4 linked regions of the Drosophila melanogaster genome follow. The protein of the gene in region 3 interacts with the protein of the main gene of each other region in a pairwise test. Each region holds a gene or a part of one and is shown on either strand. Other genes may lie near its edges.

Evidence for each region.
Region 1: the proteins of hbn (region 3) and CG34453 interact in a two-hybrid assay, tested with the Drosophila melanogaster proteins (one large-scale study listed by BioGRID).
Region 2: the proteins of hbn (region 3) and NimC1 interact in a two-hybrid assay, tested with the Drosophila melanogaster proteins (one large-scale study listed by BioGRID).
Region 4: the proteins of hbn (region 3) and CG8478 interact in a two-hybrid assay, tested with the Drosophila melanogaster proteins (one large-scale study listed by BioGRID).

What each region holds. Positions count from the first base shown.
Region 1 is NT_037436.4:231,412-235,778, reverse strand, and holds CG34453 (uncharacterized protein), read left to right. Parts: upstream 1-2,427; coding exon 2,428-2,456; intron 2,457-2,514; coding exon 2,515-2,654; intron 2,655-2,706; coding exon 2,707-2,931; intron 2,932-2,988; coding exon 2,989-3,122; 3' UTR 3,123-3,299; downstream 3,300-4,367. Other genes in the region: E(bx) (enhancer of bithorax), read left to right, coding at 1-200, 265-369, 434-797, 1,127-1,211, 1,275-1,480; CG34454 (uncharacterized protein), read left to right, coding at 3,477-3,819, 3,887-3,945; CG42846 (uncharacterized protein), read left to right, coding at 4,190-4,223, 4,294-4,367.
Region 2 is NT_033779.5:13,972,402-13,978,739, reverse strand, and holds NimC1 (nimrod C1), read left to right. Parts: upstream 1-2,485; 5' UTR 2,486-2,543; coding exon 2,544-2,762; intron 2,763-2,860; coding exon 2,861-4,510; 3' UTR 4,511-5,582; downstream 5,583-6,338. Other genes in the region: Cyp28a5 (cytochrome P450 28a5), read right to left, coding at 1-545, 633-737, 802-1,048, 1,193-1,380; He (hemese), read left to right, coding at 5,851-5,949, 6,129-6,338.
Region 3 is NT_033778.4:20,954,205-20,963,159, forward strand, and holds hbn (homeobrain), read right to left. Parts: upstream 6,706-8,955; 5' UTR 6,384-6,705; coding exon 6,227-6,383; intron 4,642-6,226; coding exon 4,335-4,641; intron 4,186-4,334; coding exon 4,056-4,185; intron 1,572-4,055; coding exon 1,484-1,571; intron 1,258-1,483; coding exon 710-1,257; 3' UTR 464-709; downstream 1-463.
Region 4 is NT_033777.3:9,761,051-9,766,635, forward strand, and holds CG8478 (uncharacterized protein), read left to right. Parts: upstream 1-2,703; 5' UTR 2,704-2,852; coding exon 2,853-2,885; intron 2,886-2,975; coding exon 2,976-3,576; intron 3,577-3,630; coding exon 3,631-4,497; intron 4,498-4,558; coding exon 4,559-4,788; 3' UTR 4,789-5,085; downstream 5,086-5,585. Other genes in the region: Mpi (mannose phosphate isomerase), read left to right, coding at 1-95; Snap24 (Synaptosomal-associated protein 24kDa), read right to left, coding at 1,161-1,799; MED6 (mediator complex subunit 6), read right to left, coding at 5,391-5,585.

The sequences.
Region 1 (4,367 bases), on a different chromosome or scaffold from region 3:
TCGCAATTGGAACGTCATAAAGAATTGCTTAAAAAAAATATTTTGCGCAAGCGTTCCTTATTAGAGCGTAATTTACAAAGCGAAATACACGAAGATGTAAAAACTAAAGTCCAAAGACATGTACGCCCCTTAAGTAACGCTTCACCGGATGAACAAAGCGAAAATGAGAGAAGTGGCGAACCAAATTTAGATTTTAAACGGTACGTATACTCATGCACTTGTGTGCAATATGATATATCTAATAATACCTAAATCAAATCGTAGGACAGAGGTGCAGAACCCCAGACATGGCGCAGGCCGACCAAAAAAGTTGACAAGAAAAAAGGAAAAGTTGTATTGCATTTGCCGTACTCCATATGATGACACAAAGTAATGCAGAAATGCATATTCTTAACGCGCTTTTAATTAATATATTGTAATTGTGTCTATGTAGGTTTTACGTGGGGTGCGACTTGTGCAGCAATTGGTTCCATGGGGATTGTGTCAGTATTACCGAGGAAGCTTCTAAAAAACTATCGGAGTTCATTTGCATTGATTGCAAGAGGGCGAGAGAAACGCAACAGCTTTACTGTAGCTGTCGTCAACCATACGACGAGTCACAATTTTATATATGCTGTGATAAATGCCAGGATTGGTTTCATGGCCGTTGCGTTGGAATACTTCAGAGCGAAGCAGAGTTTATTGATGAATATGTTTGCCCTGAATGCCAACGCAAAAACGATGCTAACGCTGCAAATATGAAGAAACTGACTTCAAATGACGTTGAAGAGCTGAAAAACTTAATTAAGCAGATGCAGGTAATAACCTGAAATTCATAATAATTTTTATTTATTATTAGGGACCTTAATTAAATAAAATTTAATTTTGTGGGAATCGTTATTCTGTGTTAGATAAACGAACAAATCGTTTATATATTGATGGCATCAAACATGTTAAAATACGGTAATGTTTGTAAAATTGTTGAAAAAATATTACAAAGTAACGAACAGAACGAAAGTATTATAAGTTCAAGACCAAGTGAATCAAATATCCAATTCGTTCATTCGTTTCACATTCATTTCTGGCTAACGAAAAACTCTCAACTGTAGCACATCAAAAATGGAATAAATATTAAATTTCCCTACAGTTACACAAAAGTGCTTGGCCATTTATGGAACCGGTTGATCCGAAGGAAGCACCCGATTATTACAAAGTGATTAAAGAGCCAATGGGTATGTAACACAAAAAATAAATTTATTCGAAAATAAATAAAATGGGGATATTTTTTTCTATAGATCTCAAACGGATGGAAATTAAACTCGAATCAAACACCTATACCAAACTATCTGAGTTTATAGGCGATATGACAAAAATTTTTGACAACTGCCGTTACTATAACCCAAAAGAATCATCCTTTTATAAGTGTGCTGAAGCACTAGAGTCATACTTTGTGCAAAAAATTAAAAATTTTCGCGAAAATGTTTTTGACCAAAGAACATAAGAAATAATAGCCCTTGAAAACTTTAGAACAAATGATTATAGTTTATAAAGACACTTCTAACAATTTGAAAAACGTCCTTCAGTTATGTATTCTTATTTTGAATCAAATGTTATATAAACATATATTATCAATAAAAACACATATAATTAATTATAATAAATTATGTACATATTGACCATATTTAGTAACGTACACCAGTATGCAATAAATTTCATATTCACCAGACATTTGTAAGATTAAAAATAATTAAGTAAAACCCCCTTTGTACAAAACATTAAAGTGTAAATAAACAGCATGCATTTCATTTGATATCCTTATCATATGCTGTAGGTTTAAACTTAGGCGTATGTAACTTGTAAAAATACAAGCTTATAATAAATGTTCAGCATATTTTGAAAATAACTTGCATTTATTTAGTCTTTGGTTTGTTTACTGCTCATTGGACTTTTAAATTCACACCTACTCAGCAAAAACAAAAATATACCTTAAATAGCTTATTAATATTATTAGACGGATTCTTTGCACTAAAATAACAACAAAATCCTCATTTGTTGATCTGCATTGAAATTTTTGTAGGCCCTTGCATAGGGTATATTTTGTAACAGTCCGAAATTTGCTTCGCAATGAAGGTACCCTTTATGATCACAAACTATATTCCTATATTCTTGATCAATATCAGCAGACGATGCGACATAACAAAGCCCGTCCGTCAGTTTCTACGCAATCCAGTCTCTCAGTTTTAAAGCAGTTATACATGGAACTTTCCCAAAAGTCTTCTTTCGGTTGCAAATGTCACTATATAACGTAGTCGTTACTAGACTGTCCAGAAGTTGTTTATTCTACGAGTAATGGGTATAAAAATACTAATTAACTGGTTGCCATGGCGAGCGTGCGCAGAAAACGGGTTTATTAAACAAAATTATTGACTAGTTAAACATAATAAAACGATGGAACCTGCTAAAGTGATTGGAAAGCTGTAAGAGTTCAGCACATCTTATTAAAATATGAATAGCAGATATTATTAACAATTTTAGAAAGGAGCAAGTGCGCATGGAGCACAATTCGCGTCGTAGTTTTCCAAAAGCTTGGAGCGAAATTTCGGGCAAGCAAACTAACAAGTTCTACCACCAATCTGAGATTAATTCTCAACTAAGTAACCAGCTAAAATTAAAAGGTATATTTACATAGAGGTTTATAATTGTGCACTCACATACTCTACCCTATAGACCTGTGCCCTTTTGTGCACAACAACCAAGGCGAATCGCGATTCGTATCTCCGGAGATGTACAAACCTTTACTGGCCGTCTGTCGCTGTGGGCGAACTAAGGAAAGCATCCATATGGGAAAATGCTTACAAAGAGCCTTGAGTCCAGATTACAAGCAAGAAATGGTACAGAATGGCACTGATGCATGGAGTGCAGAACCATTTAATGTGCCTTCCACTTCAAGCTGTAAGTAGTGCACCTACATTTAATTGTATGGGTACAACAATATAAAGAGATTTTCAGCTACCATTGGCTTCGCAGCTATTTCGAAAAACTACCAAAAGCTGGAGCGTTCTATGCAATATGTTTCTCCTGCGTTTTCCATGCCTGGCCCTCGAATTACAGCAGTCCCTTACTATAATATTATTATTGGATAAGTCATCACGAATTTTAAAGTTTCTTGTTGGTCATTTCCAACCCATATTTTTGATGAATCAAATCTGGGATTTCCCTAGATTATTGCAAATATAAGCACATGATAATAAACTTAAAATTGATAGCGGGCATCGTACAGAACTGGATTTTCCAGACGATTGACTGCTTTAGAAACCTGTATTCAGTGGCGTTCCCATATCTTATTTACTACTTTGTATTTTGATTCACTGAATTAAAACTTTCCAGTATATGTGAAGTTCCTTATGCTTAGTGCAGCTGATTCTTGTGTTGGTTCAGTTTCCCTCGATCAGCGAACGAAAGCACATACGACTATAAGCTTCAGGATTCAGTTAAAGATGTGCATCAATTGGCATCCAATATTTATTTTTGCTTGTTTAAGTCAGTTGGGCGCAGCCCAAGAACCTTTAATTTTCGAAACATCTCGTAGCCCATGGAACAATGCCGCCGCAACGACGTCAATACCAATTTCGCCCACCAGCGCAAACTTAGTTTTGGTTAACAATGTAAGAATACCAGGAGGTCTTACACCATTTGTACCAGCACCGGCCCCAACCAAGGAATTTCTGAACTGCTTTGGTAACTGTCCCACCACATCGCAATACAATCCCATTTGCGGCAGCAATATGCAGCTTTATATGAACGAGGAAAAATTTAATTGTGCTCGTTTCTGTGGAGCTGGTGAGTCCATTATATCCATTATATTATTATTTTTTAATCGAAAATATACTTCACTATTCGTTTTTAGACATTCAAATAGTTCGAAGAGGTTCTTGTGAGGGTCTTTTTGCGATGACGCGAGGTTGATATGCAACAACCAGCTATTTAATGTAATAGATTAATATACTCCAACTAAGATATTTTCAGTTTAAATATTATTATGGCACAGAGATAAGACGCCACGCAGTACATAACAACGCAAAATAATATAAATAAAATAAATACATACTAATGCAAAACAATCAAGATAACCTTGACGCACTTGTAGAAAATTTCGAAATGGATTCCCAAGACAGTTCCGTTCTGAATTTCAGAGAGAATACTTGCAAACATGGAGGCGATTTATCAATTGGTCGTAATCTTAGGTACATTATATACATAAATATATTTTATTCTGTGTGAAAGCTCCTTCTAAAATATCCGTTTTCTACTCAGCTATTATTTTTGGGCATCTGCAGTTCCAGTCCACGGTGTTAGCTGACCCTGCTTTTCGTCGCCCAAATGCCATC
Region 2 (6,338 bases), on a different chromosome or scaffold from region 3:
TGCACACAAGCGTCCAGGTAGGGCAAATCGCTAAGCTTTTCAAAGGCAATGGTGCCATCCTGCAGATGGGAACGAATCTCCTCTCGCAGAAGATTCTGTGCCTCCTTATTACGACCCAGATTGAGCAGTATGTGAGCCAAGACTGTGGCCGTCGTTTCGAATCCGTCGAGCAGGAAGGTCATGGAATAGGCCAGCAATTGACGATTGTCCAGGTTGCGCTTCTCACCCAGTTGCAAGATGTAGTCCAGGAAGTCGGACCGCTCGAACTGCTTTCCCGCCGCCAACTGGGCACGACGTGTCTCTACCGCACTGCCCATCAGGTCGACAAAGAAGCGTTCCACATCCACTGGCACGAAGCGTAGCTTAATCAAATGACTTAGCGATGGGAAGGAACTAGTCAGTATAAAGAACAGCACAAAGGTCCAGGGCTGGTTGAAGAGATCATTGATTTTCGACATTATGGGTGTGGGCTTATCCGAAAAGCTTTCAGCGCCCAGACCCAAAACACAATCGGTGACCATCTCTGTTGTGAAGCAGAGACTCATCTGTGGACGATAAAGTAGCAAAAAAAAAAAAAAAACAGGTTTGGTTTCATAGAATACGTACAACAGATAGTATAGATGGAATCTTACGTGCTTGGCATCGATGCCGTCTTTAGAACCCAGACGCAATTGCTTCTCCACCCACTCGGTCAACTTTTGGCACACCTTGTTTGTCACCGGATAGACTGTCTTTATCTGTAATTATGTATATTGGTTGGATCAGTACTTTTCGGGCTTGCCACTGGATGAACTGCCTCACCCGTCCCATCGTAAGACCAGGCGTTACGTCCGCCCTTCGAGTTTTCCACTTTTCGCCAGTTAACGAGAACGGATTGTTGGCGAAAATGAAATCGGTTTTCTCGTCAATATTCTTGGCGATCTCATTGTCGTGGAAGTTCTTAAAGTTGGACACAAAGACTCGACGCGCCAACGCGGGATTGATCACCAGCAGCTGTGGAGAGCGGCTGCCAAAAATGCCCACAGCATCGTACTTGTTCTTATACTGCCTGAATAAAATGATCGCATTAAATTCAAGTAAAGCGTAATTTTTTAAATGCGTTTTAAGAATGGTTCTTGGTTTCTTTGTGAAACAGTTGATGATCCATTGAATTTTGGTAGTTAATATAACCTTTCTAGCTGGGATAACTCACCTGTATATATCGTCTAGATCGTAGATTGCATGCCGCTTCATAGTAAACATGTTTGGATAGTTTCCGCACAATAGCTTTGGCTTGGGACCAGGAACGCCCCGTTTCCTCCAATAGTCATAGTTCCATACCAGCACGGCATACAGCAGGCCCACCACCAACGAAACCAGGGTCAAAGTAATCAGAACCATTTTCGATCGCTCTAAAATCTACGTCCACGCGCGACGAGTTCTAAACGGCGTCTGTTGTGGAATCAGATACTCTGCTCTATTTGTAGCTGCTCATTGAATTTGGGAGAGGTATTCAACAGTGTGGAATCACCGAGATACCTGAGTGAGTGCTCTGGGAGAGTAAACTACTCACACTTTCACCATAAACAGTTCTAACATATAAATGATAAGAGCTAATCATTATTGCAGGCGGTCGTCAATCGTCATATCAAGCAATTATTATTTATTTACGGTCTTGTTCTTTGTAGAAAAAAGCAATAACATTTGATGTTGCAACTCGACTAGCCGCAATGAAATTAACCATTTAGAATAAATTTAAGTATCTTTAGTAACCTAGGGCATATTTGAATGGCTGATGAAATATATACAGTAGTTGAAGGAAACATTATAGCGTTTGCTTCTGTCTTACATATTTTGCTTGCAATATTGGGATAAACAAATGCTCAGATAATCCCAAGCGGTTTATATGTATAGGTCTAGATTGTCGAGTCCTCAACGGATGTAGCTGATTTTGGAGCAACATGAAATATATAAATTTACATTTGCAGCTCAGTTGAATTTGAAACGTTGCGCCGAACTCATTTACATAGAGATCAAAGCTGAATTTTACAAGATTTCTGCTCTTTCCATAATGTCACACATCCAATGCCTTTGGGTGTGTCTGGGTTTTTTTATGCTACTCGTCGACTTCATTCAACCCATCGGCTTGAATGTTTGTAACCGATCGCAGGTGGTTACTTACAAGAGATATGTCGAAAGGAGTAGAGTGATACCATACCAGCATAGATCTTTCTGGAGTGGTTGGCAGACAAAATACCGCACCGAGTATTATACAGACGAAGAGGTAAATACAAAACTTTGAGTAAAATATAAATGGGGAACGGAACTAGTCTCCCTAAAGCTAATAATACAAATAATTATAAAATACTAAAAGATTCCTATGTACAAAGCAAACGAAGATATAGTGTGCTCGTTATCTGGAATTCATTAAAAATCCAAGAGAAAAGAACATTACATTAATTGAGGGTCCAGTTCTGTTTAATTCATCGGACAGACTGGTTGCTTTAAGATAGTGAATATATATATGGTATATACTTCAGGAAACGAATTGACTCGCATTACTCATGGATTTTACTGCATTTTCACTGCATTTTGTGTGTCTGTCATTGTCCTTTGGCACAAGTTTCGCCATTTTACGGCATGGCCTAAATGATTGCAGTCACCCGGAAAGCGTTCCGTATAACCGTAAGGTTCTTAAAAGTAAATTGGTTCCGTTTCAACAGTATTCATACTTTCATGGTTGGGTTACTAAGTACAGGCATCAATATGTCTATGAAGATGAGGTAATTCGAATTTGTACATAATTTATATTATTATTTATAGCTTTGGTAAGTGTGTAGTTAAAGTTTCCTTTAAAGAGGCTTTTTCTCCTGTTCTCTAGACTGCCTACAGGACCGTAATGAGACCCAGTTGCTGTGAGGGCTACGAAGGATCCGTTGAGAACTGCAAACCTGTCTGCAGACAACAGTGTCCTCAACATGGATTCTGCTCGTCCCCCAATACTTGCAGTTGCAATGCGGGCTACGGCGGTATCGACTGCCATCCCGTTTGCCCAACGGTATGTGGAAAAAACGAGTTTTGCGATCGCCCCGGAGTCTGTAGCTGCCAAAATGGCTACAAACGAACTTCTCCCAGCGACAATTGCCTTCCAGTTTGCGAAAAGGAATGTGGACACCATAGCTTTTGCTCGGAGCCCGGGAAATGCGAATGTGAACCTGGGTACGAGAAAGTGGGAAACGGCACCGTCTTTCCAGATGGATACAAGAACAATTCAAATGGCAATTGCTCGCCCATTTGCCCAAAGGATTGTGGCCAAAACAGCCGATGTGTGAGGCCAGGTGTGTGCGAGTGTGAAAATGGATATGCCGGTGACGACGGAGGCACCAATTGCCGACCCGTGTGCTCCACTTGCCCGGAGAACGGATTATGCTTGAGTCCCGGCGTTTGTGTCTGCAAGCCGGGCTACGTAATGAGAAATGATCTCTGCCAGCCGCATTGCGAAAAGTGCTCGGATAACGCACACTGCGTGGCGCCCAACCAATGCGAGTGCTTTCCGGGCTATGAGTCGTCGGGGGCGGACAAGAAGTGCGTACCCAAGTGCAGCAAGGGATGTACCAACGGCTTTTGCTTTGCACCGGAGACTTGTGTTTGCAGTATTGGCTATCAAATGGGTCCCAATCAAGTCTGTGAGCCAAAATGCAGCCTAAACTGTGTTCATGGCAAGTGCACCAGTCCAGAAACCTGTACCTGCGATCCGGGTTATCGCTTCAAGGACAACTCCCATCACGAATGCGATCCTATTTGCGACAGTGGCTGCAGCAACGGACACTGTGTGGCACCCAATTTTTGTATATGCCACGATGGCTATCAGCTCAATAGCACAAATCCTGTCACTTCTATGTGTCAGCCGATCTGCAAAGGCTGCCAATTCGGAGACTGTGTGGCACCGAATGTGTGCGAGTGCAACGTGGGCTATGAGAATATTAACGGACTATGCGAGTTACAAACCACGACGGACTCCTATGAATACAGCACCACAACTGTGGAGTTGCAATCATCAACTGTAGACCCTCAACTGCAGACATCAACCAGCGAGGTTCCGCACTCAAATTGCACTGCCGGTTGCATGTGCTGGATTGAATACGATGGGATGGGTACTTTCAATACAGCCAAGTGTGCCAAGATCTGTGTTGATCCCCAGGACAAGCCGTGCCTCAATTTGGACAATTGCCAATGCGATTTATCGAGTGGTCAACTGGTGTGCCAAGAGGATAGTGACATGGATTACAGCGGGGAGAATTCGCGATACGTTTGTCATATTTTGCCAGAGCAGGGGGCAAGATCAGAGGCTGAGGTACGGATTCCTGACCGAACTGGATCGTCTAACAAGTGGATGATTATCGTAGGCTCCTGCGCTGGAATGATCATTGGTGTGGCCGCCACAATCATTGGCATAAAGTACTATCGACGTTCTACCTCTAGGCGAAATTTTGAAGCCGAAGAAGCCATTGTTGAATGTGATTTTGAATAGTTTGAATCCACACAAAATCACTTATCCTTTCAAAATCGCTTGTAAAATTGTTAAATTACTTGAATTAAAAAATGTAATAACATGAAATAAATTTATAATAATAATTATAATAATTATTTGTTGGTAATGTCCTCAAGCTTAAAAGAATAACTGGACCATTTAGGTACGGAATGCAGGACTCACTATAAATGTAAGCAAATGTCAATTGTGCTTACTTAAAGTTGACTATCTAGGTTTCATCAAAAGAGGGTACTTTACAAGTACGAGATATATATTACGTCTAACTGTAATAGTTAAGAAGATTTATACGAATACTTTACGAGTACTGGAAAAGAAAACGCTGATACCAACCAGTCGTATCAGCGTTTCCTTTTTCAGTACTTGTCATATATGTATCTATTCCCATACAGAGTTTCTGTGTGGTTAATCAATCCAATAGATAAAACGCACGCTTTAATAAATCGTGATATCAAACATATATTTTGGCCAAACACTTCCTCCACACGGAGGAGCTTTCAATAGCTGTTGTAAAGGCAGAGTTTTTGTAATGCTCTAAAACTGTATAACTTTTCATAATAACAATACAATGCAAAAAAACCGGAAACTTGCAGTTTTATAAACTGATCAAATCCGTGAAGTATTGGTATGACAACCCCTTTGTTTTTCAATACCTTTCGTTTTGTGTTTGGAGTTTTAAGTTTGGACAACCACAGCAATTTTTTGTTTATTTACATTAAAATAGTTTGTTCATCACTATATAAGGGAAATTATTTCTTTTTAAAAAATTATTTTTGTATTAACCATTATCATTAGTTACAGGAAACGTTTGGAATGACACACAAAAGTGATTGAGTCATATTTACTACTAAATCATTGGAGGCCTGTTAAGCATACATACATACATATATAATATGTAATATTTAAAATATGTAAAATGTTCGCGGACTAATAAAACGACTGAGATCAACTGATTTGTAATCCTCATATTTTTTAGAATGAGAAAAAAGTTGTAAGTCAACCAAAACATACCACTCAATAAATTCATAAAATGAACTCGACGAGCTTAACGTTTAAAAGTGTATTTAAATCCTTTACTCACCTTTCTTTTTTTATAAAAAAGTAAGAAATAATTGTACAATTACTTCTTACTTTTATAAAGCCAATTAAATTAAAAATAAATACACTGGTTACATATTTTCCTCCTTATTGGATATACCCGAAAAGCTTTCATATAAAGGGTACTAATCTCGCTCCGCAGAAGGCAAGCGAAATTTTAAAGTTTAGTTCATTTTTTGGCACTCGGCGGAGCAGTTCACACTAAGTTTACATAAGTCACTAATATGCATAATTTTCAACTGACCGTCGTTTTCCTGGCACTGTTCACTTTTACCAGTTCCTTTGGATACCGTTCTGAACATCCGCACAGAAAACCAATACATGTACGTACTTTTTCTGTCTTTTAAAATCAATAACATTAAATACCCATGACAAAGGGTCAAATTGCATATGCAAATGACATACAAATATGTTAGTCTAAATATTACATATTTATAGGTATTTAATTAAAAAAATTTAATTTTAAAAACCAAGAATTATCATAATTTTTTGTTTTTGTCAGAGCAACCGTCCATCTCCAACTACTACAATGACAACAGATTCAACTTCAACTAGCTTTATGACAACAGATTCAACCCCAAGTGAAACGGAATCCACTTCGGATACATCTACTGAAGAAAGTACACAGATTTCTGACTTCACCGAAAGTTCAACCGAAAGTTCGACGACAGCAAAGATATTTTTAAAGGACAATGAGATTTCAAAACCAGAA
Region 3 (8,955 bases):
TCGATATTCGGCCCAAGATCGCTTTCATTTGACTCTGGCAAAAAGGAAAGGTCGAGTCGAGTTTTGTACACAATCAATTGTAGCATTTGAGCGATTCATAATGGATCTTTGTAGGGTCATAAGCCCTACTTAAGGTACAAACTTTTTGCGATTAATTTGCCGCGCGGCGGGTAGATCGGTGTATGTATGTATGTTGTGGAAAATTATAAAAGTCCTTCCCGTTAACGGAAGTTAACCGGGAGATTAATTTTGGCATTGAAAATGAAAATATGTGAAGAAGGCTAGAAAATTTGAAAGACCTGTTTACAAGGAATGTACAAAAGAAACGACACATCCTATGTTTTGTGTGATAACTTAAGATCACTTGACGTAAGATCTTTATAGTGAAATAATTCATTTCTTTGATCAACAATCTATCTTACTTTTTAGCATATCTTCAAACCAGCCATAAAACGCAACAAGTATCTTTTCATATCGTTTATTTCTCGACAGTTTAAACTTAGTGGATAGACTACCAAAATGTTCGCTCGAAGATCGCTTACAGATACATAATTCTTTAGGCATTACAACTACGTTAACTTTGGCAATCGACAAAGCTGCAAATATCTTACAGTGCGTGGGCTATGTGACCATGAATAAAACTAGATATCTACAAGTATGCGTGTATCTATATATGTACATAACGAATCCAAATATCACGGAACAGCGTTCAGTCCTCGCCCTTGGTGACCACGGAGACGGGTGTGGAGGCGTTGCTGCTGGCACCTGCCGCGCTGTTCGGCGATTGGGCGGCCGTCGAGATCAGTCCGCCCGTTAGCAGTCCGCCGCCTCCGTTGCCGCCCGCTGGGGGCGTGGCATGCGGCGGTGTGGGATGAGGCACTAGCTTGGGACTCTCGCGCGGACTGCTGTTGCTGCACGGCGGGCTAACTTGGCTCATCGCAGAGAGTCCTGCGTGCAGCGATAGATTCTGCGGATAGCCGGCCGATGCTGCCGCCGCTGCTGCAGCTGCTCCCGCGCCAAAGATCCCATTCAGATTGCTCAGGCCCATGTACTGGGAGAGCAGGGTGTGGAAGTTGGGCAGCTTGTAGTGGGGCGCCATCAGGTGCTGGGGCAGCAAGCCGGCGGCAGCGGCTGCAGCGGGATTAAAGTGCTGGTGGAGGGCAAAGTGCGGGGGCCAGAACTCCGACTGCATCGAGCCCGGATGACCCGGAAGTCCATGTGGCGGCAGGGGAATGCCCAGCGGAAACTCCGGCAGACCTGCAAGCGGAAGGCAAAAGGGCGATTTCGTTAGTCGAAAGTCAGAGAGAGCGGGTGGTGGCGGTGGTTATGGTGGTGAGACAAGCGACACAAGCGACATAATTCCTAATTATGTTGCACACGTAATTTGGCAATTTGCGGACAAATCAAATGCGTATCGCTGGTTGGGTGGGTGATGGCTGGGATTTGATGGGGTGGATTCGTGAGATGGGGGTGGTTAACTCACCTTGTTCGGGCAGAAGGTAACCGGCCTTGTCCTGATTCATAAACTTCTCACGTTTGCGCCATTTAGCCCGACGGTTCTGGAACCACACCTGCAAGTGCACGAAAAAGAAGGGAGTTTAGAGATGGAGTTGTAGGTATGCAAATTTTGGGTGCCCTCGGATTTAAGGCTATTATAAGCTAAAGGGGTAATAAAAAACATAAAATTATCTGATATATCATTTACCGAAGAGAGGATATGCCTTTTTCTGACTTATGTATACAACCTGTATACTTTTCAAAAACCAGCATACTTTTCTAAAGGGTATCTATCCCTCGATCTAAACTTGATTAGTTCTACAAAACTAGCGCCTTGGCAAGCGACTTGTAATTGCTTTGACTTTGACCAAAAACCGAACAATTTCCCAATCTATCAATCTGTGTGCTCGCAAAGTTGGAAGCACTTGGTCCTTGGATGGCTCCTTCTGCCGCCTCCAGCCTCGAGTGTCTGAGCCAAAGGACTTGGACGCCGTGGAGGGTTAGGTCAAATACAATGGCATCCAATCGGAAGTGTTCTGCTCTGATTTGCAACGCTCTCTGTCTGTCGCTACCCGTCTCGCTCGTCGGACAAAAGGGTGTCTTATGCATTTTTCGACACTTGCTTGGGTTTGGGGTGGACCAAACTCGCAGCCACCCAAATTCACCCCTATGCAAATGTGCCCCCTAGGCCATCCACAAAATAGGCGTTGGCTGCACATACATTTCCGCCTTTTGGGGGCGACGAATTTTCAGTCCGAGCCGAGGCTCTCGTTTTTGATGGCAAAATTAATTGTTTGTAAATTGAAATCACTTGACAACTGTCTGTAACGCTCGTTGATGAATTCGAGACAATAGAGAAGGCTCTGCAATTATAGACACCCTGTATTTAGATGTAACCCCCTTCTACGGCCACCCACAATCTGCAACAATGTGTGCAGTTGAGCGAGTAGTAAATTAGCAACGATTTCCTTGCTATAATTGCTGCCAATTATTGTCCTGTGTCCTGTGTGTGTCTCTGCTGAGAAAACGCCACCCACCACCCCCAACCCCTTCACAGCATAAGTGCTGTGTGTGTGTGCGATTTTGTGGGCTTTTTAATTGTCAGTTGGCAGCAATTATTATGGCAACAACTTAAACCACTGTGCCAGAGCAGCCAGGCAGTAAAAGTTGAATTGCGGATATCCGTTCAGCATTTATCACACATGTGCGATCAAAACGAGAGAAGAAACTGTCGCAAAAACTGGAAGAGGCGGTTTGTAAACTCAAAAAAAAAATGTGTACTTTAAAAAATTGTATAAGAATTCGTTATTTTGGATTTTCAAATGTGAAAGTTCTTTGCATATATTCCAATTAAAAAGACTGCATAAAGCGTTCAAAAACGCTTTGTTTCAACAATTTCCAGATTGATACAAATTCGCTTTCAATATTTTTTTCGCTTTTTTCGATACCCCAACTCGACAATAAAAATTTGACTTAACCCGGCAGATAAGTCGCTGGTTACTCCTTTTTTTTTCACCAAATGCCCCACACAACGAGCATGCAAATCCGAAAATAATTGCTCACTTACCAACCCCAAAACAAGCGGGGATTACGCTTTGGATACTTTTGTATCTATCAGCAGCTCAGCAAAAAAAATAACACATGTATTAAAATCGGGCAGCTCTAAGTCGGTTACTATTCAAGTACCCGAAACGCTCTGCATATGCGAATCAATGACCAATTACAGTTAATCTGCTAACAGATACGAATAAGTGCAAGGACGCGCAGGATGAGAATGCGGATGTGAGGATGTGAGCATGCGGATGACGACCGTGAAACGGACAATTTGTATTCGAAGCGGGTAATCCCTATGTGAGTGCTTAGGTCAAGTTGTTTCACATTCACATTCTCTTCACTTCTTGTTTTTTTTCACTTTTTGTGCCAGGCCATACTTTTCCCTGCTTTTTTATTCCCTGTCAACAAACAGCATCGAAATTGAGCGAATCGCTCAATCAGATGTGAAGTGTTTGAAAGCGTTTCACAACTGAAATCAAATCGTATGCGATTCGGGGCGAAAGGACACCCTAATTACATGTGTAGTCGGGTATATTTGGCCGCGTGTCCTGCCGCCAGTCAGCACCCAAAGCCACTTTAATTGTTTACCCGAAAGTAGAGTTAATAAAAATACCAACACCATGTGAGCGCGGACGATTTAATCATTTGGAAAATCACAATATCTAATGTCCTTGGTGCCAACCCTCTATAGAGAAAAAGGGACGCGTATTCACCCGTATTCAACCCTCCTCCGACTAACGAACTAAGCGTGTTTGTATACAAAGTGGGGCTTAAGTGTTTCAAAGACCATTTACAAATTGGGTTCGGCGATTGTTTTGCCCGTTCTTATCTAGCCATTCAAGTTCCCAGACTCTGAAAGTGGTTTATTCGCTTATTAGCGGACACTGCGATGGCAATATTTAAAGCCCATAGCCGTTAGATGAAAATACAGATACATTTTGAGCGAGTTGAACTGCAACTTAATTCGAAAATAATTGTGCGAATCGAAAACCAATTTCAATTACCTGCACGCGTGCTTCGCTCAAATCCAATCGCATGGCCAGATCCTCCCTTGTGAAAACATCGGGATACTGGGTCTTCTCGAAGGCTCGCTCCAGCTGATGCAATTGAAATGTTGTAAATGTTGTGCGAGATCTGTGAAAAATCGAAAGGAACGGCAAGGGCGGCACGTTAGATACGTCGGATAAGAGTTTGCCCCCCTCCTCTTTGTTGGCATGTTTTTTAATAGCCCGACAATGGGTAAATACGATTTGATCTGCTAAGCGGATTGTCGCTGCACTCACCTTCGAACTTTACGCGGCCTCTCCATATCGCTGAGATCATGGCCATTGTTCAGACTGGAGGACAGCTCGTCGTCGTTATCCACGTCCAGGCCGCCGTCCGTATTCGTTGGGGAGTCCTCTCGTTTGGCCTGAACCTGCAATTGTTGCTGCTGCTGCTGCTGCTGCGAATGGTGTTGCTGTTGCGAGTGCTGCTGCTGCTGCTGATGCGACAAGTGATTGCTGCCGTTGCTATTGCTGCTGTGCAAATGATGGATGTGATGCGGATGGCCGTGGTGGGGATGCGTAATCAGCACTTCGCTGGGTGTATCTGCGATAAAAAACAAAAAGTGGCAGGGAAATAAAGTTAAACAATTTCGAATTGAACTCGAGTGTGTGGGGAAACAAAAAGTTTCGCGTTTGACTTTTAAAATCGAAAGCCAAACGGCAGCTGCAGAAATTGAAGTTCATTCAATTGTGGCTGAAGTAGTTATATCCTCAATTTTAACCCCCTTTTTTTTGTACGGTCTCAGTCTCGAATAAAATTCAAATCCTTCAAGTGCTCGAAAGCTACGCAAATTGATTTGGCAATCAATAACAAATAAATATAAAGCCGGAATAAGTTTTAACCCCAATACCACGGCAGCGAGCATATAAATATCCTTTCACACGAAACGATTTGGTGAGTACTCAAAACGGTTTCTTTTCGAGCCAAGGCAAAACGTGTAATCAAACTTTAATGAACCTCAAATTAATCGGATTCACAATGGCACCAGGACACGTCCCCGCTCAGCAGGACGCCCGTGTCCTGGTTGTATCCTTATCGTATTTCGTAACATTTACGCAGACCCATGTGGCAAGAAGGTAATTTCCAGCGAGCATCAAATTACGAGGCTCACAGGATGCAGTGTCCTGCGGTGCGCACGCCGCTCGTTGTCGCCAAATTGCAACCTGGACCAATGGGTGCCGTGATTCCACTGAATCCAGCCCAGGCAATTTCCAGCCTCCACCTCTCCCGAGGACTTCAATCTAATTACGGGTCTAATGACGCAATTGCCCGTTCCCGCTCTCCATGCGATATATCCGGCCAGATATGTTTTGATACAGTGTTTTTTTTTTTCTTCTCAAGTAGATCCTTGGGCGAACTGCCTCCTGCAGCTTGGCCACGCCCACAACAAGAGTTCCGACATGCCGAACAACTCCCATTGTCATGATATGTTTTCTTTTTGCTCTCTGGGTGGAGTTCGAGGTCGGTGTTTGTCGGAAAGTTTTGAACTGCCCTCATTCACCTTTCCCAACTATGATAAAATGTCCCTTGCGAGCAATTTGCATATGATATGGATGGCAATGTCAATCTGCCTCTCCACTGCTCCGGCTCCTTTGCGAAAGGATCTATTTGATGTGGTCAGTGGAGTAGGAGGACGGTTCGGATTTTGGAGCACCAAATTTGGGGGGGGAGCCCATTGGCTGTGCATGAAGTCTAACGTGATATTTTGCCCTGCTGGTGGTAAGTTGTAACGCATTCAGGATGTTTTCATTATGTTTAAGATGTGTGTGAGAAATATTTCAAAGCTGTAATTAACAAGCTAGACTAACTAAATAGGTCGTAATCAATTCAAATTATACATTCAAATTTAGAATTTTTAATTCGTTTACGCCTGCCCATAGCTATTCACAAATTAATTTTGATATTGGATTTTTTAAATCAAACTAAGCTAAACAATTTATTAAGATTCTCTAAGAAAATGCAATTATTGTATCTTGATTATGTTTCCTTTTAAGCTTTTTGTGTGATGTACTAAGAAACTCTAACGCAGATCGCCGACGGCAAACGATGAATTTTTGTAAAAAGGATCCCCTTACATTTACATTCCAGTAAGTTATCCCCAGTTTATATTTGTTAAACTAAAACTCACCACTGCGCTTGATCTGGTGCTGATTGCCCAGGATCTGATCGATGCTGTAGACGGCGCGGGGGCGTGAGACAGGACTCTCCTGAACGGGGGCGGGGCGCATGGCTGGCGGCATGATTGGATGGTGCTGATGGTGCTGCGAGGTCGTCGTGGTCATCATAGCTCCACCAAAAGAGCAACTCGCGATCCGTACGGATTTCTATTGGTTTACTTCACTTGCTACAAGTTGGTTTTTTCTTATTTTGTTAGCGATTTTCCAGATTTTCGTTTTTGGCAACTTTTGTTTAATGTCACAATATTTGTTGAGCACGCTTTGAAAATTAGCTTAATTAATTGCTATTATCGGGTAAATTTGTCGATTAAACGATGCGATTTCGATACGGAATACGGAACAGCCACTGCGACGAACTGCAATGAGCTGAATCGAATCGAGTGAATAACTGCGAGTGAGTAGTGCTCGTGACGATCAACAACCACCGACTGAGTGCGATTCCTGCCGCCCGTAGGTTTAAATACGTTGCCTGTTTTTCGCTAGCAAGTGAAATGGGCGAGGCTCGCTCGCTCGCTCTCGAATCCGAATCGGAATCACAGTTCCCAATCCTTCGCTTTCGCCCATGTCCTGCCATGCCAGCCGTCTCTTTCGTTCGCACACGCTCGCTCTCTCCCTCTCTCTCCTGCTGTAGGGGTAGTTTCCCCCAGTATCTCAGTATCTCAGTGCCGTGTATCTGTGTGTTGGGTTGGCTCGCTCGGTGTGTGTGAGTTTGGGTTGCAGGTAGCTTTTGGTTTTGGCTTAGGGGTGTTGGCCTCCTCCACTCTCTCTCTCTCTCTGTCTCTCTTTTCAAATCTCTCTGGTACTTTTCCTTGACACCTTTCTCTTTCCTACCCATTTAATGCACTCTCTTTCGGTAGTTGTAACTAACATGGTTTGCTCATTAATTGTGTTTATTTCACAAATTTCGCTTGTTAAAAACTATTTCACCCTTCCCCCTCTTCCTTTATATATATCTCACTCTCTCTCACAGTAGTTTCCTCTCCCTCCCGTTTCCCGGCTCATCCACAAATCACAAAACAGGTTGAACCACTCACGGGATTGCCAAACTGGTACCTGAATCAAGTCGGCCATTTGCCAGGTCCTCTTTTATTAGTTCCGCTTCCATTTCGGCGATAGATTTATGGCCAGGATCCCCGTGATCTTGAGAATGAGCCCGTGGTTTCATTGAACAAGCCAAACGATCAATGAATCCCTTTACTTAGCAAGGAACTGTGGCAGGATCGAAACCTAAGTTCATTGATTAAACTGATCTCATCTCGAAGGATTTCGGCCGCATTGAATTTCGTTAAAAGCAACAGGTACAGTGCGGAACTGATTTCACTAATGAGTATTCAAATCATTTTAATTAATAGCCAGTGCATAAATACATAATAATAATAATACATAAATAAATTTAATACATATATTTATCTAAATACTATGAAGATTTCCTACCAATCTTATATTTTCTGCATGTTTCCTTTTAATGATAAAAATGTAATATTTTAAGTAGCACCAACCAAAAAGGATCTAAAAATATGTAGGCCCTGGTTTTGCTACGATTAAATAACCGAAAATAGCTCAGCCTTGTTTAAATCACCCACTTAGATCTGGGATTTGCGTTGAGCTTCAGTTTAGACAGGGCTCTCTATCCAAGATTTAGTCCAGAACCCTGGTCCACCCACAGGTTGCATAACACAAAAGGATGCCAAAAATGGCCAAAAGTGGTTCCCGAAAAAAGAAAAACCATCTAATGCCCGAAGGATACATGGTGTGCTAAAACGCCGGCTACAATGATAACAAAGCAGGGACCGGGATTTATGGTCTCTAATTTGTCGAAACTTACACAATTCCTTTGTGCCCCGAACCCAAACAAAGCCAAGGATCGCGGCACCTTCAGCCGGGAAAATCGGGAAAAGTGCACACGTAATTTCCGCGAAAACTGTGAACAAGTAAGCGGGACAAAGCGTTGACCGGACTCATTAATGTGCCAGATGCATGACGCCACAGGACACGGGGACTCAACAGGACGCAGGATTAGGTTTAGTCTGCCGAGGCGCTTAATCATATTTTCATAGGACGCATTCCCTATGCAGATTTCATTCAGCAATCCGATTGCATGTTCGTTTAATTTAGAGCTGCAGAGGGCATCTCTCGAGACTTAGGATTGCGTTCCTGCCCAGATCATACAGCCTCGGAATCTCTAATCTAATGTGGAATGCATAGTGCTCGCCGGCCACCAAAATTTATGCAGCATCATCAGCGCACTTAGTCGTAATCGCCGGCTCATTAGGACTGCTAAACAGAAGAAAAAAGGGCTCCTTCCTCACTAATTGCCGATCCTCAATCCAGCCCAGGACATGCCCTTTTTTATCCAAGGGCAATCTGATTGCCCATTTTGGATTGAAGATACGAGGAATTAGTTCTTAAGTAGCTATAATTCGTTAGGTAATCTCTTATCAAATGGTTTATATTTTGATGGGTGATTGAGAAAGGCTAAATAGTAGTCTTGGAAAATCATCAGTACATATATTTTTATTAGGCAAATGCCTTACCCAACAATAGCACATTATAAATTTGATGCGCTTGAGTGTAAGTAATTGCGAATCAATATTGTCGCTTTACAGGACCTCTTCCTCCCATCCAAGCTCAACTTGTCTGTGCTCTTCAACACTTTCAATTAATTTAGCTGTAGGAGCCA
Region 4 (5,585 bases), on a different chromosome or scaffold from region 3:
AGGCGGCGCCGGAAATCGAATTCGCCCAGTCCGACGATTGCGACGAGGACTTCAGCGGCTACATAGCAACCAGCAACTACTTTCGAGTGCCCTAAAATTCTCAGTTAATCGAAATATTTTGTACAGTGCAATAAATCCATTAACACGTTTTGGTGGTGAATTATTTTGTTTATATTTACTTGCAATTAAGAGCTAAGAATGTAAGCTAAAGTGGCAATAGTAGCGATAAATAAGTTATCTAATCAATTGGCTATACTCGTTCCATAGTACATTTAATAATTAACGAGAAATATCTTGCGCACAAACAGGTAGTTTCTTAAATATTTGCGATAATTGCAACCAACAATTTCAAGTACTTAAGCTAGAGCTACGTAACTCGATCGGGGTTACATTCACTGGGGATAAATTATTCATATGTACGAAGCAAGAGGTTCGAGTGCAAATCTAGTGTAATTCAATAGAATTGGTGCTTGGACTGCTGTGCTGGGCTTGCGAAATGCCCAAATACATGGCCTACTTAAAAAGGGTTAACAATGGAGAACATAAAATTGGCTACGTTATACATAATTTCCGCCCGTCTTTGTTTGGTTTTTCGGTGCCCGTGCGGGATGCGGTGGTTCTACGAATTGTAAATACATTAATTCACATTTATCCATCTCAGCAGTTGCTTGGTTTGATTTCACAAAGATCGGTAAAATGCTCAAAAAGTTTGTACCAAAAACAGAGTACATCATATACGGTAAATCTCATAATAAAATTGTTTCCGGCGCCATCTGGTTGCCATTTGTACACGAGTGTAGTAATAGTAAGTAGTTAGTATGTTGGTTCGCATATATGTATATATATATATATATATATATATATATATATATATATATATATATATATATATATATATATATAGTTTTAGAAAGTAGTAGTTAGTTCATCCGGCTCGGCGGCTTAAAGTTCTTGTAAGTAGATGGGTTTGTTACGCTTGCGTTTGCCAGGAGTAGTTGCCACTACTTGTATATGTGTATAATATATGGTATCAATAACGCAATACCACCAGCTACGGTTTGTGCCCACAACATTGGTTTCTTTCCCTAACAACATTGAAATGGAGGTGGTGTCTGACTAACATGTTCGCTATGGTTTCGGGACGTGGCCGTTGTGCATATTTAACTCTTGAGCAGATTGTTGGCGCGCTTGTTCACGCCGTCCATGCGAATGTTGTTGGCATCGCCCTTGGCATTGATGCGATCAACCTGTTTGTTTTGGTTCTCCAGCTCGGAGCCCATGTCCAGGGCCATGTTGCGCAGGTTGCCCAGCATCGAGTTCACCTGCCCGAGATTCTCGTCCATCTCATCCTCACGCGCATCGTTCGTGATCCTGGCCACATAGCCGGACTGCGGTGGTGCACCCATGCCGCCGCGTTCCCGCTCATCAATGACCCTTTGCGGCTGGCTGGCCACGATTTTGCCATCGTCATTGGCCTTCCAGGCGCTCTCACCGTCGTCCTTGATGTTCACCTTCTTCCACGGCAGCACACAGATGCCACAGCACTTTTCCATGCCACTCAAGTTCTTCTCCGCCTCCCTCATGTCCGCGTTGATCCGGTCCATGCCCTCCTCAATGCGGTCCAACTGCTCGCCCTGGTCATCCAGGGCCACCAGCGTGCGGATTCCAGCCTCCTTGCTTTCGTCCATGAGGGCGAGCATCCGACGCGTGCTCTCCAGGGATTCATCGGCCACCTGTCCGGACTTGAACTGCAGCTCCTGGAGCTCAGTGCGCGGCTCGGCATTCTCCACGGCGGCCATTTCGGAACTATCTATCTGGTGAGATCACTTGAACTTGAGCTTGGCAAGTGGTTGAGAGGCAAGACGGCTGTCTTGTTTTTTTTTTGGGTGGGGAAATCTGGCCAGTGACTCACTCGCGCGAGATGAAAAACTACCCTTGGTGCTGGTTCGGTGTGTGAACTCGGTGGATATGTAATTGGGGCGGGGATGAGCTCGTTTGTGCTCCGTACGTAGGAACTTATTGCCAAGGTTTAATAATTTATTTGCGAAAGTATGAATTTTCACACCACACAACAATTCGCCAATTTGTATACTAGAGCTGCAAAAAAATCGATGTTAGTATCGATGTCGTTTTCGATAGGCGATTTTTACGTGTGTTCACACTGTTTAATATTGCATTTAGGCTTAGTTCGCAACAAGTACAATTAAAGAAATTATGCAAAACAAGCTGCAAACTATTTACGAAACAGGGCTTGCTTACGTTTTACTATTAAATCTGAGTTTAAAAGTTTAATATTGCATTTAGGCTTAGTTCGCAACAAGTACAATTAAAGAAATTAAGCAAAACAAGCTGCAAACTATTTACGAAAGAGGGCTTTCTTACATTTTACTATTAAATCTGAGTTTAAAAGTCGATTTACCATGCATAAACTAATAATCCAGTCTGATATTACACTTTTATCTAAGACATGAACCCTGTTCGAGTCTGATAAAACACAATTATTTTATGTTTTCAAAAATATTTCCCATCTAGTCACTGTAACCTTTCAATTCGTCGTGTGCCGAAAAAATTAGATTTATTTCTACAAAGTCTCCTACGCGTTAACATCAATTTGAAAGTAGTGAAGAATTTATAGTTTTTTCAATACTTTTCATAATTTAAAGCCGCGCATTCCCATCGGCGCCGTTGCTATCTTCATTGCGCGCGCAGTGTTGAAAAGTGTGTTTGAAATATTAACGCTTTGTTTTTTCGGTACAGCGTCGGTCTTCAGCTGCTCGAATTTTTGCTTAATTGCTTGTATTTATTAATTTGGGAATTCCTCGTGGCCAATTGGGAATAGCATATACTTAACCATGGACGATTCGCGCAGAACTATGGCCGGCAAGGCAAGTGTTTGGTGGTTTCAGTTGGTGTTGCTTCCATTTGCCGGGAAAAGACTTCCGAACATTATCCCATTTTCATTGCTAAAACAATAGTTTCACTTCCAGCAGATCGATTCCCGTAGCTCATCGATAATGACAAACGATGAGAGCGTCTCCATGTATTTATCCTTTGACGCGGAGGACACCCTGTCCAATGCCAAGTGGCAGTCGGCCCTGGTCACCCAGAACAGCCAGTTCCTGGAGGTGCACAACAGCAAGGTGGAGGTAAACACCGATGATAAGGACCTAAGGCGCACTATCCTAAAGGATCTGCATCAGTTGACCATTGGGGAACCGGACCAGAATTCTCCTCTGCGCCCATTTGACAAAAGTATTCTTAACCGGCACAACGCCTTGTGCTCCACTCCCTCCAAGGGCAATATTTCGACCGAAACGCAGACACCACAGATCATGGAGAGCATAGATCTGACCCAAATTGACGACAAGGAAAACACACAACCGGAGGGGTGTGGCGGCGATAACTCGACCTTGTCCAGTTCAGTGGACGTGACCGCCAATACGGTTAAGGCCAATACCCTAAAAACAGGGGATGCTACCATGGACAATGTATCCTTGCAGGAGGCTGCCAAGACCCCAGCTCCCAGCCAAGTCTATCCCTTGAGTGCGAACGTAGTTTTAGAGAATATAACTGAAGGTAGGTTTATACTATTGAGATATGGTTTCGTTCTATAAACATCTACATTTACAGTATCCAACGAAGGAGTATCCATGCTGGTCTCGCCAGCCGGAGCCGAAAAGGAGGTCGCCCATGTCAACGAGGTAGTGAACGAAGTCTCTGAGCTAATTGCCAAAGCTCTAAAGATCTCCGCTGATTCTGTGAAGCCAGCGACCTCCAAATTAAAAGTGGAGGCGGGCAAGAAGAGGCAGTCCATGAGCTCCACTTATTCGGGTGCCGCCCTACCGCGCCCTCGGCGCTCCTATCTGCCCACCACCACCGCAGAGACGCGAACGTACTCCTTCAAGCAGCGCATGTCGGTGGTGGTCAAGACAACGCTCAACAGCCCAGCTCGCAAGCGGAGTGTCGGTGGCGGTGTGTCACTAAGCCGTCGCAGCTGCTTGCCCGTCTCCAAGCTAACAAAGAGCAGCATAAGAAAGTCGCTCGCTGTGACCAGCGTGCGTTCGCCTGAGAAGATCGCCTCAAAGCCGGCTAAGACATCGACAAAAAGCATTCCGGAGAAAGTTTTTAGCTGCAAGAATTGCAGCACAACCTTTCGGGTGAAGTCACTTCTTGACGTGCATATGCGAATGCACGATCCGGTTGACAACGGAGCCAATACCCTTAAGCGTCTGAACAGCAATCCGGTTGCAGCGGGAGTCTCGAAGAATCGCTGCAAGTTTTGCGATAAGAATTTCGCACTGGAACGTGCCTTGCACATCCATTTAATGCAGAACTGCGACAAGATACCGCCGTCCGAGAAGCGCAAGCTGGAGTTCACCGAGCTGAACCACGAGAAGAAAGCCCAGCTGCCAAAGATCGGTGGCACCAGTGGCATTAACCATCCCATGACGATGCCCCAGAAGCCACAGCAACGCATTAGTACTATTCCCAAATTAGGTAACTATTGATTGAACAGCACGCGTTCTTAGAGAGAAATTATTACAAACCCAATTCACAGCTCCCTCACAAGGAACCCAGTCCATGGCTCCACCGAGCGTGAAAAAAATTCCCAAGAATGTGGCGCATGCCGGCGTCTACCGCACTCCCACAAAGACTGTGCCCTGCCACATCTGCAAGCAGTCGTTTAGGAGCATACTCGAGTTCACAAACCACAGCCTGACGGTGCATGGAAACAACCAGCTTAAGAAGATGACCGGCAGAGAGGATGCACAGAGTGCCCACGATTAAATTAAGCGATTCGTGTGTAGCCTAGTCTATGTCTAAGTTAAGTGCTGTGGCGTAGCTGTGGTCCGGTAACGGCGCGTTGTGAACAGATCGCCGGGCAGCTGTGAGTTAGCAATGCCTGGCATTTCGAGCGCTTCTAACTCAATGTTTCGGTTACTCGAATGCTTATTAATTGTACACTTCAGCTGCACGACTGGACTGCTTTGTGAATTTTTTAGGTTTTCGTATGACATTCACACAAAAATAACTATCGTAGTCTAAATGACAGTAATTACATTATATTCTAGGTTACTAAAAACTATTTTAGTTTTGAATTTTGTGTTTTCTTTTTTTTTTTGTTAAGGTTATTGATTGTTGTTCTTAATTGTTTTCTCACGGAACAAAAATTGCGTTTTAAAATTTGAATATTTAAATGGTCACTAGTTAGAGCCACTTTAAAAAAAAATAGTTGGCAGTACTAGCAAAAGTAGATTTCGCTGCTTTTCGCTGAGCGTTGGTTTGGCCAGTGGAAATGCAGGCAGCATTCAGCGCCTTTTATGCAGCTGCCAAAGGACTCGGACTAATATGTATGTACGTTTTTTGAGGGTGCACCTGCATTCACATAATCACTTGCTCTTCTTTTCGGGCGGTGGCTTCATGTCCACACCCTCGGTTTTGATATCTAGCGGTCCTGTGGCATTGTTCATTTCGGAGGCATTTCTCGCTGTGTTCAGATCATCGCCCGCTGGTGGCGGCTGCTGGAGATTCTGCAGCATGGGCGGTATTGGTGGGGGAAATTTACGCAAAAGCTCTGCCAGCAG